Drosophila melanogaster: one gene and its partner. The protein of the gene in region 1 interacts with the protein of each later gene in a pairwise test. Each region holds a gene or a part of one and is shown on either strand. Other genes may lie near its edges.

What was found. The genes of interacting proteins can lie anywhere in the genome.
Region 2: the proteins of SKIP (region 1) and Shal interact in a two-hybrid assay, tested with the Drosophila melanogaster proteins (one study listed by BioGRID).

What each region holds. Positions count from the first base shown.
Region 1 is NT_033777.3:22,129,818-22,138,165, reverse strand, and holds the start of SKIP (shal K[+] channel interacting protein), read right to left. Parts: upstream 4,337-8,348; 5' UTR 3,715-4,336; intron 1-3,714. Other genes in the region: CG42390 (uncharacterized protein), read right to left, coding at 5,076-5,511, 5,922-6,065, 6,413-6,595, 6,824-6,923, 6,991-7,300, 7,369-7,519, 7,574-7,660, 7,719-8,058 and 1 more.
Region 2 is NT_037436.4:19,579,776-19,588,067, forward strand, and holds the start of Shal (shaker cognate l), read right to left. Parts: upstream 4,794-8,292; 5' UTR 4,547-4,793; exon of another isoform or gene 4,536-4,546; intron 1-4,535. Other genes in the region: CG9231 (uncharacterized protein), read right to left, coding at 5,699-5,909, 5,974-6,140; CG9330 (uncharacterized protein), read left to right, coding at 6,607-6,694, 6,760-7,016, 7,117-7,340, 7,399-8,046, 8,106-8,279. UniProt on the Drosophila melanogaster protein: Mediates the voltage-dependent potassium ion permeability of excitable membranes.

The sequences.
Region 1 (8,348 bases):
CAGACCCCAGCAGCGAAATCAGCGAAACCGTGGTCGCCGCATCATCCCCATCATCATCCGCGCCGTCATCATCATCATCGTCATCAAAGGAATCATCATTAGCGGCATCATCATTAACCAGTAAGTGAGGCAAAGTGGAGCTCACTCACGACTAGGCAATATCCTTTGCTTAAAAAGCGATTTAAACACAAAACTTAGAAATTACAAAGTGAAATACAATTGTATTTATACAAATAGTATTTAACAATAACATGTCCATCTTCTTTTTATAAATTGTAAAAATCTAAAAACTCCTTTATTTCGCTTAAAGCTTGAGCAAATAAAAGTTGTTCCTTTTGACCATTACATTTTGATGGTCAAACGCAGTATATCCGCATAATCCACGAGGATCTCGGGTACGAAAACCGCGCGCGCCTCGACCATATCCATTACAGCCAGAATAACAGGAGGCTCTGGAGCAGGAGCAGGCGGACTGGGATTGGAAATGGGATTGGGAATGGCAACGGGAATGGGAATGGGGCAATGTGGAGCAGGGCAGAGCACTAAGGGCCGAGGACAGCGAGTAGTTGTTGGCCTGCGGCTGCCCGTCCTGGCCAAGTTTGCGAGAAAATCGATTTTAGCGCTGCCTGCGCTCGCACGGGCGGCCTTTTGGATGCGAGTGTCCAGGTTTCAGGTCCAGATCCAGATCCAGCTCCACTGCGAGTGCGATTTCGAGTACGTTGCCCAGTCACAGTGCCATTCGTATTCCCCAGCCTTCAGTCCGCCAGTCGACAGTCCCACTCCCATTTTCATTCCCAGTAGGGGAGTTGCACTCCTGTTTGTCCACAGCAAGAAATACCAAGGGTTATACCTTTAAAAAGTTCGTTCTATGACTTTAAGAACTTAAACGTATAAAAGGATTTAAATTTAATTCCACATTTAAACTATCAAAAAAAAAAAAAGGAATAGCTTTTTTAAAGATAATTTTATAAATTTCATCCACTTTTCCGTTTAAGATTTATTTTGTTTCCCATTCTTGTTTTACAACTCAACTATTAAGATACACATATAGGCCTATCAGTACCATAAATCCACTTTATATCTGTGATTATCTTTATGGGGATGCACCTTTTTTTTGGCTCAGTGTCCGTTCTGTTTGTTTGTTTGTCGCTTTTAATGCTGAACGGAGTTGGCGAAGGCGACTCTTGACTGATTTTTATGCTTTTGGCCCAATTGCCCCGCAGTAGCCGCTCCGTTCGGAGAGCGGACTCCGATGGGCACTGGGCACTGGGCAATGGGCATCGACCGGTTCTCACTGCTCGGTCCTCGGTCCTCGGCCGGGATTACACCTTCCTGCCCTGCGAGGCGAGGTGCCCCCTCAATGCCACCCATTAGCGGCCCTTTGTTTGACTTGCAGTTGCAATATAAGGTCATTCCTCTGCTCTTGTTCTTGCCGGTGTTTTTGTTGCAGTTGCACGCTTTTCGTTTCGTTTGATGGCTGCGCACGCGGCCTTTTGTTAGTTTTCCCCAACCAATTTCATTTTTTCTTTTTTTTTTCCTTTCCATTATTATTATGCTTTTTTCGTACTCTTAAAGGGAACAACATCGGCGAAATCGCAGTCTAATCACTTCATTAGCCCGAGTCTCCCACCGCTTTTGGCCATGTTAACACGTTGTTCGCCTGCAAGTTGCACGAACTTGCTGGCAAAGTGCGAAAAAAAATGGATTTTAATTGAAAAAGTGTGGGAAGTGTAAACATCGATGCGACTTTTGCTTTCTTTGGATTGTTTAAGTGGTGCCCCGGATTTAATGTAAAACAACTAGAATGTATTTCAAAAGTATGAAAAATTCCATGAATTTTCTACAATTTTTGCAATCATAATTGTATAAATTTCAAGCAAATTTTTAATGGCTCTTAATAATAGTGCAAAATCATCGAGACAACTATGCTTTTATGTAAATTTTGTTTTGACCAATTACTCGGAGTATAAGTGCACATTTTGTAGATGTACAATTAAGTGTTGTTTGCCCACAACTAAATGCTTAAATGGAGACCATTAAAGTGGCTTTTAGAGCATCAAAACTCCAGTCGGAAATATCGCAAAAGTTGAATCGCAACTAATTTACTAACCCACACTATATTTGCCTAAAGTTTTCTCACAATTGTAAAGGTGAAATAGCATCAGCTGTGAGTCTGTGGAGCTGTGAAGAGTGCTCCTCTCGCTTATCGCATAATTGGTAGCAATGTTGGCTGCCACTTTTTGCTGCGGCTTCTGTGGCAGCAGGAACCATGGAAGCAGGCGATTCTTTCTCGGCTCTCCACCTCGCCACCGTATCCGTCGCATTCCGGAGATGCCGGCAAAACACTTGTCAGCGACTTAAATGGCGCGCAGCTGTGCGGCATTAGCTGGGGAGAGCTGGTAAGGCTGGGCAGCCAAGATCTGGGAGTTGAGAGGAGACCAGCGAGACCAGGGAGACCAGTGGACACACCTCTTAAGGAGGTGTTGCGACCGCTGCTCCAGGAAGTGGGCATCTGGAGGGGGAAGGCGTAGGGAGCACGGCACTGCAAGTCCAGTGGCGACATTTGATGTGATTATTGAGTTATGCCCACGGGGGCAGGTGCCAGGCATATTTCGCTTAATTTTCTGATGAAGTTATTCACCGAGATATGGAACGCAGCGAAAATGTACACGTATTATAAGCACAGATAAGCTACCCAAACAAGCAGGCACAAAAAAAATAAGAGACAAGGTAAAAGAAGGTGTGGTTGTGTGATTTTAAATGACAATCCTCTTCGGTGTCTAAAGTCGGCAGTTTAGGGTTTTATTTGGACACGGCCACGACAGGTGTTTAAAAAACATTTCAAGTCTCAAAATGTTGAAAGCACACAAGTAATCAATGTTTTTTTAATTGACGTTTAATTATTGCTCGAGACAGAAATTAATTGAGTTCGATAAATCATTATGTCGAACTTTCAATATGTCTTTGAATATTTCATATTATGTGATTCTGCATAATTTTCAATTAAAGAATTTATATCAGTGGGTTAAATGCGTGTTGTAATTTTGCACAAGAACTTTCAATTCGAAAGAAGATACGCACTTTTTAAGTGAAATATGTGACTTTATGAGTCATTCTATCTCAAAAAGGAAGTTTTCAAGACATTAAGGAAGTGTTTATACAATTTAAACCAAATGAGTGAAAAATGGACAATTGTATAACAAAATGCAGAGAGGAAGTGTTGCATAAATAATTAACATTTGTCAGGAAATCTGTGGGCAGCAACAACAAAAAGCCGGCCAAGAGTCAGAATTAGAGGGAAATAAGAGGGAGACAGAGATGAAACGAAAACAGCAGGCACTACTAAATCACCGACAACAACAACAACAGCAACCCCGGAGGATGAGGATAGAGTGGAAATGGGAAGGGAATAAAAACATAAAAAAAAGCGGCACAGATTGCCGAGAACAAGAACTAAACACAGGCACACACACAGTTTGAGCACTCCAGCTGTGTAGTTGTTGTTGTTGCTGTTTTTTCGCCGCTCCTTTCTGCCCTGCAATCAATAAAACGGATTAGGAATATCCTTTAAATGCGGCGCTTGGTGGAGGCTGCACACACACACTATCGCACTCACGAAATCTCCCTCACACACACAAAAGCACACACAGGCACACATGGCTGCAAATCTTTTACAATAACACATATAGGAGGAATAGAAGTAGCGGCACTTACTTTTCGTTTTCGTGTTTCTCCGTTCGTAGAGGAAATTAGGAGATGGCAATTGAAGGTGGAAGAAAGGAGGATGGCAAGGAGGAGATGAAAACAAAACCGAAAAACGTACACTCAAACACGCACGCACACGAAGACACGCAGGGCGCAATGATTTACCGTTACGCGACGCGAAAATGCTCACAGGAATGGCTACCAATTTACTCCAATTTTGATTTTGTCACTTGCATCACAAACATTCACATTCGACCCCAACGACCTTGCTGTTCCTCCTACGCGCAACTAAAGTGCTATGCTACAAATGCAATTTAAATGCTTGCTAAATAACTGGGTTTTTTTTTTCGTAGAGGAACACACACGACGTTTCAAATTAACAAATTGCTGCCGGTTGTGTCTGCGTTATCACGATTCCTTGATGGCATGGCTGATGGTAATTGGTTATTGGCCAGCCTGTTTGCTTATTAAACGGCTCGTTTGGCCACCGTTTTCGTTTCGCTCAATTCTCAATCACAACACACTTGCTTCAGTTTTACCGGCTTTTTCAGTTTCAATTTCACGCGAATAGACCGCTCGAGCTGGTTTTCAAAACGACCGGATCTCGAACATTTCGACGACTGACCGCGCGGCGATAAATGCGTTCGTATATATTCGTATATGTTGCTTGCTCCATCTGGCATTTTTAGCATCACAGCCGAGCTCGCGAACGGTCACTCTCTTGGTTCGATGCAACCGATTTAGTTCGAGTTCGAAGGGTTTCGAACTTACGTTTCTTATATTAAAAGAAGTGCACAAAAATTCAATAAATTGTTTGTTTCTATTTATATTTCATAATTAGAAAAGTACAATTATTGTTTACCGTTTTCTTGCCCGTAGATCATTTAAATTTAGCCGCGCCACAATTGCATTCTTATATTTGAAATACGTACTAATTGGGCGAATTTAGTTCATTTAGTACAATTGATGCGCATGCGTCTCTCTTGAAAATTAAATTCTCTCGCATTTACAGTGCCAAGATAACTGTTAAGCTAACAGCTGTTAAGTCTAAGCAATAAATAAAAAAATAGTAAACTGTATAAATATCAGTATTATTAAAAATATTTACATTTATTTCGTTTCTTTTTGTTTTTGGCGGTTTCAGAAACCAATTCAGAAATTTAATTTACAATTTTTATGAGTTCAAGCTTTGAGCGATTTGATTGAGTGGTTCGATTTCCGTATCCAGCGATACAGAGGGCAGCACATGAAGCACCAAAAGCACCCGGGATCACACACACATCCTTGGTCCTGGAACATCCACTCCTGGGGATCTCGAAGAATACAGCCACAAAATTGGAAGATCTATGTATATAGAAAGTTTTGACCGCTCACACGGCGGTGATGAGATGGGCGTCATCCTCGTTGATTCGATCCGACTTTCCATTGACCTCGATCGTGTGATTGGACTCGGTGTCGCTGGGTTCCTGCTCGACCTCCTCATCCGCTTCATCGTCCTCGTCCCCCTGGGAGGAGTTCTCACCATTTTCCTTGTCGGGCGATTCTCGCTCCTCGTTTTCCTCGTATATGACGTCACAGCTGGTGGCTATTGATTTGGGCGGCGGCTTCTTTACCGCTTTTCCACCGCCTTTGCGGTCACCATTTTGTTGCATCTCGGACATTTGAATCTGCATTTCCCGCAGGCGATCGGTGAGCACATACAAATCCCGCTCCTGACTCTCGCATCGTGTCCTCAATTCGGTTATCTCACGCAGATCCTCGGCTCGAGGATCTCGTCTTTCGTATCGCATGCGCATCTCCTCAAATCTGCGCAAAAAGGATTGCAAAATTCCTTAAATATTTACTATATTCACTACTAAACTACCAAAAAGGATAATGGTGAATTCAAGGCGGATGCTGGATACTGACTTGGCGTACAACATCCCACAACACGGACAAGCAAAAGTAAGATAAATTTGTGTTAAAGATAAAAAGAGTTAAAAGGTCGAGCTCTTAAATCCCTTTCCTTTCCGATTTTATTTTTTTATTTTTCAAAATTATATAAAGATAAGAATCTTATATTTTAGCAAAATTCGAAAGTTTCGAATCATAATTCCATAGATCTGTGGTCTCAATCACACTCAATCTTTTAATTAACTTTCCTTAGACTTAGGAACTCGACCTTGGGGAAGATGGGTCAGGGTGGCTGGTGGTTTTTGGGGAATGGGTGCACTTACAGATTGGTCAGGCAGCGGCACTTGCGATGCAGCTGCTCGATCTCGTTGGCGTTGCTGATGTCGCGCTTGTCCAGCGCCGCCTTCTCGGCATCGTAGGCCGCCTTCAGGTCCTTGAGATTGCGCTGGTGCCGAAGTTCTACATCGCTGCGGTTGCGGATGCGGATACGAATGCGTACGCGGATACGGATGCAGATTCGGATTCGGGTTGGGGTTATTCAGGTTATATAGAGTGGTCAGAGGTTGAGGTGGATACACACACATAGCGAGAAAGAGAAAGTAAAATATTAGGAGAATCGCACCAGAAGGACAACGTTTGACAAGCTGCATGCCAGATAAAAACATATTTTTTTTCTTATGGGTTTTGTTCGCATTTCAAACATTTCAATACCAATGTCTTATGTCTAACAAGAGATTTTCGATGATGGCCAGTCTTAAATTTAAATCAAGAATCATTTTAAGCGTGAAAAGGGGGATTAATATTTTATTGGCGCGCTAGGAGGTGGCGATATTTGATATAGATCACTGCGACAATATTGAACACCAAGCATGCAATGGCGATCAGCGGCGACATGGTCAGATATAGCACATATAGTGTGGGCATATACGGCCACGCCCCCTTTGCAAACGCCCACAGGGCTGGAGAGGCTGTCGATCGACCTAAACGCTGATCCATGCTGATCCAATGAATGAAATGTGAAACGAAAGAGAACAGAATACAAGTTCATGTGATAATGGATCGAGTTCAAGGACTCCAATGTGACAAATGTGGCAAATGAGTAGGATGCAGACATTCAATGCAAGCCAATGGATCCTGCTTCAATTTAGTGGGGAGCAGCGGTCAGGGGGCACTATTAAGGTAAGTATGCCCATGGGGCGGGGCATGCCACATTGCATTCACTCACTTGATTCGTTCATCGGCAGCGGCCATTTTTGCGCGATGTCGCTCCACAAGTTCCTGCAACGCCTCCTCCTTCTCCGCCTGCAACTTGGCCTTTTGTGAGTCTGCCGATTGATATAATCAATTATATAATTATATATAATAATAATCAATATACACATGTATCTTTACCCAGCTCCTTTCGATGTGATTCGACCATTTCCTGAGTGGAGAGCTGCAGTTCCTTGGCAAACTCCTCCTTAACTTGACCGAGACGTTCGCGGAACTTCTCCTCCATTTCGGCCTTCTCCGCCTCGAACTCCTTCTGGAGTCGTTCCTCCAGCTCGACACGGCGATCCTCCTCGCGGCACATGGCATTCTGGTACTCGCGATCGGCCTTATCCAAATGCATTCGGGTCTGAAGCAGGGCGTTATCCGAACGTTCGCGCAGGCTGAGGAAATCCTGTTTCTTTTGCTCCAGGCTCTCGTGCAGATCGTCAATCTAAATGATGGTTTATAAAATGCAAATATGCATTCGATTGCAGTTTATCTATAACACTATGAACCCACCTCAGATCGCAGTTCCTCCTCGTTGGCCGTGTATCTGTTGGTCAGGGCCCTCAGCTCCTCGATGTGCTCGTTCTGCAGTTTGTCCAACGCCTCGCGACGCTCGTCCACATACACGGACTCCAGTTCATTTGTCAGTCTTGTCATCTCTGTGCTGAAGGCATAAAAGTTCAATTTGGAGCACTCAATATGATGACTTGTGACTTACTAAAGTTTGTTTTCCCAGAAGGCGGCTGCCTCATTTCGCACCTCATCGATTTTGTAGATCATTTGGCGTTCCTTATCATAGATGGCACTGTAAAAAATATAATCATTACAATCAAATTCCATGGATAATTCCCAATTATACGCACTTATCACACTGATACTTGATCTTGTGCACCGCCTCGATCTGGGCCTCGAGGTTTTCATTGGCCGACTGTAGATCTCCCTTCAGGTTCTCGATGCGATCCATTAGCGTCTGGATGGACTGCTCCTGTTCGCTGACCACGCCCCTCAGCGAATTCACCTGCGCCTGGCAGGTGCGCAGCATCTCGGACTCCCTACGGCGGGACTGCAACTCCAGTTCCAGCTCCTCCGCCTTGGCGGTCGCCTGCTTTCGCTCGTAGTTGGACTTGTCCGTCTTGTCCTTGCACTGCCGCTGCATCTGCCGCAGTTGCCACTCGCAGTCCGTCATCAAAGTTTCCTCGCGCTCTATAATTGATATAAGATATTATTTAATAGCTTTATTTATAATTTATACGCTTGTTTAGAATAATGATTTCTCACCTCGATTGTGTGTCCTGAGCATTTCGAACTCCTTCTGCCATTTGTCCTCGCAGATCTTGCGTTCCGCCTCCGAATTGTCCAGTGCGTTCTTCAGTATGCGTATTTGCTCCTCCAGATCCGTCCGGATCTTCTCCACCTGCTGGCGCCATTCCTCAGCCTCGACTTGGGCACAGGCCAATTGGGTTTGCAAACTTTTGGCCAAACCCTGCGTCACT
Region 2 (8,292 bases), on another chromosome or scaffold:
CGAAAGGTCAATTTACATAATTAATGATATAAATATATTGTTTAGTAATGCGAAGATATATCGAATCAGATTTTCTATTGAAAATAAACCAACAAGCCGTCTGTTGGACTTTATTATGATTTAAAAATTGGTTTTAAAGGATATTGTAGCTTATTATTCCAAAACAATTTATAAGCAATTTAACATAATTAATTGTTTTGTTTTAGCAAATAATAATAATTTAAGATTTCTTCTATATACAAAGGTACCACCATCATGGCACAGTGCTCAGCATAAATATAGCATACTTTTCTGACCTTCAGCATGGGAATAGCCATATCAATTTACACCTCGGAGCCTCCGCAATTATTATCTATTAATGTTGCTTTCAGGGCATATCAGCATCGCATTCCTTTTTTTTCCACCCCTGTTTGTGTTTCCTGACTGCCCGTTTTTTTAATGTTTATTATTTGTTTTTTGTTTATTATAAAGTACAAACAGGCAGGCGGACCGGGACCACCCACTCGGCCCTCGAGACCGTTCCATTCAATTTGCGGGACCCAAATGCTAGTTAGGCATTAATGTGCGGAGCACACGAGAAATCTACGGAAATCCTGTGAATTTTCCATCGCAGCCATTGCGTGGGCCCGCCTTATTATGGCGGCTCGACTTTGACTTTCTCTTTTTAGCCCTCTCGAAGCGGAAGTCATTTTCGCGAAAATCGAGGGGGGCGGGGGGTGGAAACGGCGGGCAGGTTGAACACAACTGCAACTTTGAGGCAAAATGCGAATCAAAAAGAAATGGACGCGTTTCCAGATCATAAAGGCAATTTTATAGCCTGGTGGGCATTTCAGTTTTGTATTTTTATTGACAATAAGTTAACAATGTTTACGTGTTTAGTTGGTTGTTGTTGTTGTTTGGACTATTTTTGAGGCATCACAACAACCTCCTGACCGGACCAAAAATACTCGGTGTTTTCCCAACTGCTTCGAATTTCCCACATTTCCCCGCGATGATTTTCTTTTGTTTACAATTAGTTTTTTCGTTCTTTTTAAATTTGTTCCATCGGCTTAATGAAAAATGAGAAATATGTACTACTGAGCAGAGAAGCGCGAGAGAACGAGAGAATGGGAGAATGTGAGAAAGGGAGAGTGGGTGAGAGTCTCATTTTCTCTGCGCCTGCTCATAGGACCCTTGGGCTTTGGATACGGGCTAAGGATGTGGGTCTCGGTTTCGGTTTCGGGCTAGCGTTCGGCTTAGGCTGTGGGATCCGGACTGGGATTGGTTCGGATTCGGGTTTGGGTTGGTGTTTGGATTTGGGGATGAGGAGGGCCTTTGCCCTCGCCGTCGGCCCAACATCAAAAAACATTTCGCCATTTGTCTCTGGGACCTGTAAAGATTTTCTAATTTTCCTTGTACTTTTCACTTTTGCCCGTGAGTGTGTCGCCGCGCTTAAGTAGGGTTTTATGTATCCTCCCACTAGGAACAAAATTGAAGGTGTCTCCTCGAGTAAGGTGTCTATTTGGCAAGCATTTCAAAGAAACTAATTCGCATTAGTGGCACCTTTTCCCCCCATGAAAATTAAATCGGTTTTATACACGATTTATTTTCAATCGTCAGAGCTCTATAAATATCTCTGCTGCAATATTGATCCCACACCCAGTGCACTGCATTTTGGGTCAGCAGATTTATCATTGCCAACGGGTAAGCTAATTATGCTTATGTTATTATTATAATAATATTAAAACATCGAATCATAATCAAATTTGTTGCTTTTGAAAACAATTATTCGGATTAAATTTGCACATGGACAGAAAATCTTTCACATATCTTAATAGCCGATTGCAATAATTATTTAAAAAACATAAATTTGTAATTGAATCATAAACATCGCGATGTTGGCTATAAATTCAAACAAAGGCATGCATTAAATGCATTTAATTATTCGCCAACTGATGCATGGACAATTAAAATCATCTCAATTTGGAAACGGAGTAAAATAATTTCAACAATATTTGTTTGCATTGGCAAGAAAAATATTGACCAGCTTTCAGCATCCTTCGCATATTAATTTTTATGTAGCCGCAACACACTGCGTATGCTTATTATTAATTCAAGCATTGCCCATACGTCATGTTGTGCCAGAGGACAATACAAGAAAAGGCCGAATGCGTCGACAGCAATTCGATTTCAAGGTGATTTATTATTTAAATTTCATGTTCCGAAACAAGTCTGGGCAGCAACAAGAAGAAGCAAGGGTTGCTGGAAACTGGTAAACTCAATGGCACGTGCACTTGGAAAAACTGAATCAAAATAACATGTATTCCATATTCAACTATTTGATCCTTACACTTGTTATTTTGGCTATTACCTTTTATTATTATACCCACATCATTTGTGTGATATCTATGTAATCATTATACAATACGTATACTTCTCAACCGTTAAAGTTTTTCTCAAATTCATAGCTTACACAATATAAGAAAATGTTGGGATTCGGGATGTTCAAGGATGAAACTTTGGAGTTTCCGCCGTTGTTCGCATTAATTGCAAAAGACATTAAAACTTTATAGAGTCGTGCTTATCAGTTGGCCAACATCGTCAGCTGGAAGAGCTGCAATGTAGCGAATCCACCACCACTAGCACCGAAAAACTTTCGTCCTGATGGCCATGGCAAGCAGGACACCAAGAGCGGTTCAAAGGGATGTGATGATGCGGGGCGTCCAGTGGACGTGCAAGTGGCCCAAAGAGCCAAATCCTGGGTCGCACTGGGTGGATGGTGCGGCTAACAGCGATGGGGTGGTGGTTGCTTGGTTGGATGTGGCCAATGGCGTAATTTATGTAGGCCCGCTAAGCCTTTTCATGCGTAAAATGTGTTTATATCTGCGTATAAATACGCGTACAACTGTGACCACGTACGGGATTGTGTACTATATGTGCTTATTGGGGTGTAAGAGATATATGTATAGAGATACAACCAGGGGTAGCAAAATAATTTGCGGTCGAAACAAAAAATCTTCAATACTACAGGATATTCGTGATAATTATTACTAAGATCTTCAAGAGTAAAAGCACTTATTTCTATTAAGATCAACCCCATCGATTTGAGGTGAGGTAATAAAAGAACCGCATTACGGTGTCCATGTGCATTAAGCTGCAATAAAAGTGTAATTTTAAACCAATGATAACAAAACAACAACTACTGGATGTGCGGCAGCTGCTCTGCAACTGCGCTGCAACTGCGCTGCCTCTGCTGCTTTAAGCGCGTCATCAAAGAGACACACACACACATAGAAGAGAGATAAAGCCTTTGTGTGTGTGTGCGCTTGCATCGGTGATGCTGGTATTAGTGCAGCTTTGTTATTGCGCCAAAAACCAAGCCAAGGATTTTTCACACATTTACGCCAACAAATGGACTGCAGCTGCACTGGGCAAAAGGATAGTACATAAATTTGATATCTGCATTATTATACTCATTAATATCGGGAAAATAAATGTTAGGTTGCAATCCAATTCCGGGATTCTACTTCAACATTTTCAAATGTTGGGTTTATTTATAAGATAAGAAATTTATTGTTAAGAAACACATCAAAATCCCTATAAGTTATATGATTATATTTGAATGAGAGAAATACTACAAAAAAACTATGTTCATATGTAAGTAAAATGTAAATGGGAGCACTACAATCTGGCTAACAGTAAAAATAAATTTTAAAGGAATTATTGTTATGCTTTGAAGGAATTTTTAAAGAAATATCGGAAAGCAACGATTTTTCCCAGTGTCCTGTTTGCTCCTGGCTGCCTCGCTCTCTCTTTCTCTCCTACAGACGACCTTCACTTTCGTGGGACCGACCGTTATATATTTTGTGTGCCTAACGCTTTTTTAACGTGTTATGTTGTTTCTCTATTTTCGCTGGCCCGCTGGTCAAATTAATACCCTGAGTGGGTGGTGCGTGTGTGGAGAGGGGGGCTGAGGCGATTGTCGATTTAAATAGGCCAACTATGCAGAAAAAACAACTTGTTGTTGGGCTGCAGGCACGCCATAAGGTGCACTTAAAAAGCGTGTTTTAAAATGAGCTAACCGCATGGCAAGGATATGGGCGGTTTGAACTAGATGTGAATTTTCCACACTTATTTTCCCTCTGGTTTTCTGTTATTTTTTACGGCTGTTGTTGTTGCTGAGAGAACGAGCGCTACAGCAACAACAAAAACAACAACAACAACAACAGCAACATTCGCGGATACACACATTTTCACAAATCAAAAAAGCAAACGAATATTGCCACACAAACCCGTACACAGAGAAACACACTCCCACACACACACATACACACAAATGAACAAGAGAGACAGACAGGGAAAATCTCTCATTTTTTATGGATTTTCTGGGAAGGCAATCTGCTTTCGCTGATGTTTGATTAAACAATTGCTTTTTATACTCCTGTTGACTATCGTCCATCATCTGCCCGCATTTCGCTGGGAAATTGGGGAAAACTGTTTACACATACATACGCACGCCTTTCGTTTTATTGCATTTTACACTTCTCGCCTCTTACACTTTTCCCACCTCATCCGTTCCTCCTTTCGTTAGCCGCACATTTTCCGCACTACTGCGTGTACATTTTCCACGCTTTCGATCCGGGAAATTCGATGCTGGCCCCTGTCTGTTTTTGGAAAAACAATTTTTCTGACACTTTTTCAGCCTTTTCTGCACGCACGGGGGCCACAAAAAACTTGGCCCAAACTGCGTCCCGCTTTTTGCTCCGCTCGGCGTTTTCTTGGGGGCGTTCAGACAAACAGTTTTCGACAAACTGAAAGTGAAAAGTAAATGCAAAAGCGCCAGCGCCTCCGACAGTCGGTAGTTTCACTCGGAGCATGCGAGTCCGAACCCAAATCCGAACCAGAATCCGGGACAGCAGCGAGATGCTCACGGCGTCGGCGCACTTCGACGAGCAAGTGGTGGCCACTGGCCTCTGAAGACGATGCAGAATCGAAACAGATGTTCATGTTGCCTTCCGAATGAACTATGATCAAATATTTATGGCTAATACCACATATCAATGGATTCATATCAAGGATATCACAATTCAGTCGCAGTCGATAGCCATGCATTTTTCACAGGATCTATAGTTTATTAGCCCCTTACCTGTTACCCACACTTAGCAAACCTTTATACTGTTTTGAATCGAATATAATCGAAAAAGAAAGTTACTTGAAACCGAATTGTATCTCCAAAATGTATAGTTTAATTAATTATAGTTAATTTATAATTTATTTATAAAAACATGACCAAATCTTAATATTAATTTGGTTCACCCAGCGCACCCAAACATGATTTGCAATAAATATGTTTTATTTTTGATAATACAACATTACAAATATCACTGAATATCTATCAAGGACACGGCTTGTACACATGCTTATGGCAAAGTGCTTTCCAAGCCAAAAAATTCACTAAAGATTTGGCCCTGCAAACATTTTCCATTCCATAGTTTATGGGCCAATTGGGATAATTATGAATTTTTTTAGTTGAACGCACACATTCAAATCAAAAATAAAAATCTAAATTTAAAAAGAAAAATTTTCAACAATCTTCAGACCAACTGATTATTAGCAAAATCTTTTAAGGCCAGTTTTAGCCAATCTTCTTTGGAAGTGAAAATGGAAGCCTGGCCAGTTCTAATATTACTAGGCGAGTGAGGGATTTCGGAGTGATTTTCTATTTGGCGGCCGGAGCAGATCCTTCGCTCTGCTGAGAGTCATTAAACTGTTTGTGCCACTCGAGATTCATCTTTGTGACGGATTCTCCTTTCTTGGCGGCCTGCTTGCCACTGTACACCATAATGGCGCATCCCACGGCGGTGAGTGCGATCATTATGTTGGCCAGGCGGATGCGCATTTTGTTGCGGCAGCGCTCCATGACATCCTGACTGCAAGTTTTGACACCAAAACTTAGACACCTGTTGCATTTGCTCTCTAAGAATCGGCACTTACCTAACGAAATTGGGAATCTCGGACTGCGACTTGTATTTGCCGGTCCAAACCAACATACGGCGCTCCAGATTGTTTGGCTCGTGGTTCTTGATCGTCTCTCGCAACATCTGACTGGTGCCGAAGGATCTACGCACCAAGGCGCCAATTAACCCCGTTTTGCTTAGCATATTGCCTTTTTTAATCGTTTCACAAGTAATCTTGCAAAAGAGAATTGGAATTTTATGCAATTCGATTAACAGTGGTTGCTAACATAACAGAGCTGTCACACGGTCGATAACTGTGAAAACAGCTGGGATTTCTTTGGTCACCCTGAGAGACGTTCACACTGTACAATGAAGTGATTGAAAAAATGAACAACAAACTAAACTAAACTGGAAATTCTTTGTTAATCAGGTGAAATTTTGATGGTGCTAAAACTGCTGGAAAAAATAAATCTGATATTTAAAAATATATAGTAGGGAAAAATATTAGAAGTAAAGCAGTGTGACCATCTCTGAAATATGCTTAGTCGACCCAGCAACGGTCACTCTGCTATCCCCTTTAGTTTTCGTTTGCGGTGGAATAAAAGTCGGAAAAGTCAATTAAAAGCCGACTGCCACACGTCCAGAAAGCGAATTTGCGATCAAGGTCAAGATGAGCGAGTACACAAGCATTCTGCAGCGCGAGTTTCCCAAAATCGACCACGAGCTGCTCACCTATGTCGTTGGCGTGCTCACCGGAAGTAAGTGCCTTGCACTAGCCTGTGATCTTTTATTCTTTACCCCGCACACAAATTCCAATTGCCAGGCGAGGAGGACTTCGAAAGCGGCGATGACATCTTCGAAGCGGTGGGCGACATCCTGCAGAGCGTCGACTGTGATAGGTCGGAGGAGAGTGTACGTACGCTTTGCGAGCAGTTCCTCAACATCATGAAGAACAACGAGGTCAACGTGGAGCGAAAGGTTCTCAACGCGCCGGTCAACATCGAGGAGATGGCCAAGAACATGGAGCGGCTGGACAAGGATATGCAAAGCATCTGGGTGGCCAACAAAGATGGCGCCAATGTAAGTGTTCCCCTTGACGAACCACTCCAATAAACTGAATGAACGGCGCCATCAATACGACTTTCATTAAATAACAACTAAACTATTCTTATTTTAACAGAAAGTGGACTCCAAGAAACTAGGAAAGGCGGAGGCCAAGCTGCAGCAGAAGCAGGAGAAACGGCAGGAGGTGAACAAACATGGTATGATTCCTGTTGCGGTGAAGCTACAAACGGCCACAGCCTCACAGGTGACCAACAAGAAGAACACCAAGCTGGATCAGAAAGGTCTTAACCGATCCATGGACATCAAGATCGAAAACTTTGACCTGGCTTTTGGCGAAAAGTGAGGCAACCTAACTGTCGAAATTGAGCAACCGAAAATTATTGTTAATTCCATTTAGAGTTCTTCTGCAGAATGCGAATCTGCTGCTGTCTTACGGACGCCGCTATGGTCTGGTGGGACGCAATGGCCTGGGCAAGACTACACTGCTCCGCATGATTGCCGAGCGACAGCTACAGATCCCTTCGCACATATCGGTGCTGCACGTGGAGCAGGAGGTGGTTGGCGATGACACACCAGCAGTGGAGAGTGTGCTGGAATGTGATACTGAGCGAACGAGACTTCTGACCCGCGAGAAGGAGATTCTGGCTGCCCTTAACAATGGAGTTCAGGATGCGACGCTGTCCAATGAGCTGAGCGAGACCTACGCCTCTCTGCAGAACATCGAGGCGGACAAGGCTGTGGCCCGCGCATCTGTGATACTTAAGGGCTTGGGATTCGATGCAGATATGCAGCTGCGTCCAACTAAATCCTTCTCAGGCGGCTGGCGCATGCGTCTTGCTTTGGCCAGGGCACTGTTCTCAAAACCCGATCTGTTACTGCTCGATGAGCCGACGAACATGTTAGACATCAAAGCCATTATTTGGCTGGAAAACTATCTGCAGACATGGGCCACCACCATTCTGGTAGTTTCTCACGATCGCAACTTCCTGGACACGGTGCCGACAGACATTATTCACCTACATTCCCAGGAACTGGAGGCATACAAGTAACTATTACAAATTACAAAATGTAGCCTAATTTAAATATAAATTGTTTTTTCCCCAGGGGAAACTATGAACAGTTCGAGAAGACCAAGACGGAGAAGCTGAAGTCCCAAAGACGTGAATACGAGGCCCAAATGGCTCACAGAGCTCATGTCCAGGACTTCATCGATCGCTTCCGATACAACGCAAACCGTGCCTCGTCTGTGCAATCCAAAATTAAAATGCTCGAAAAGCTGTAAGTACAAAAA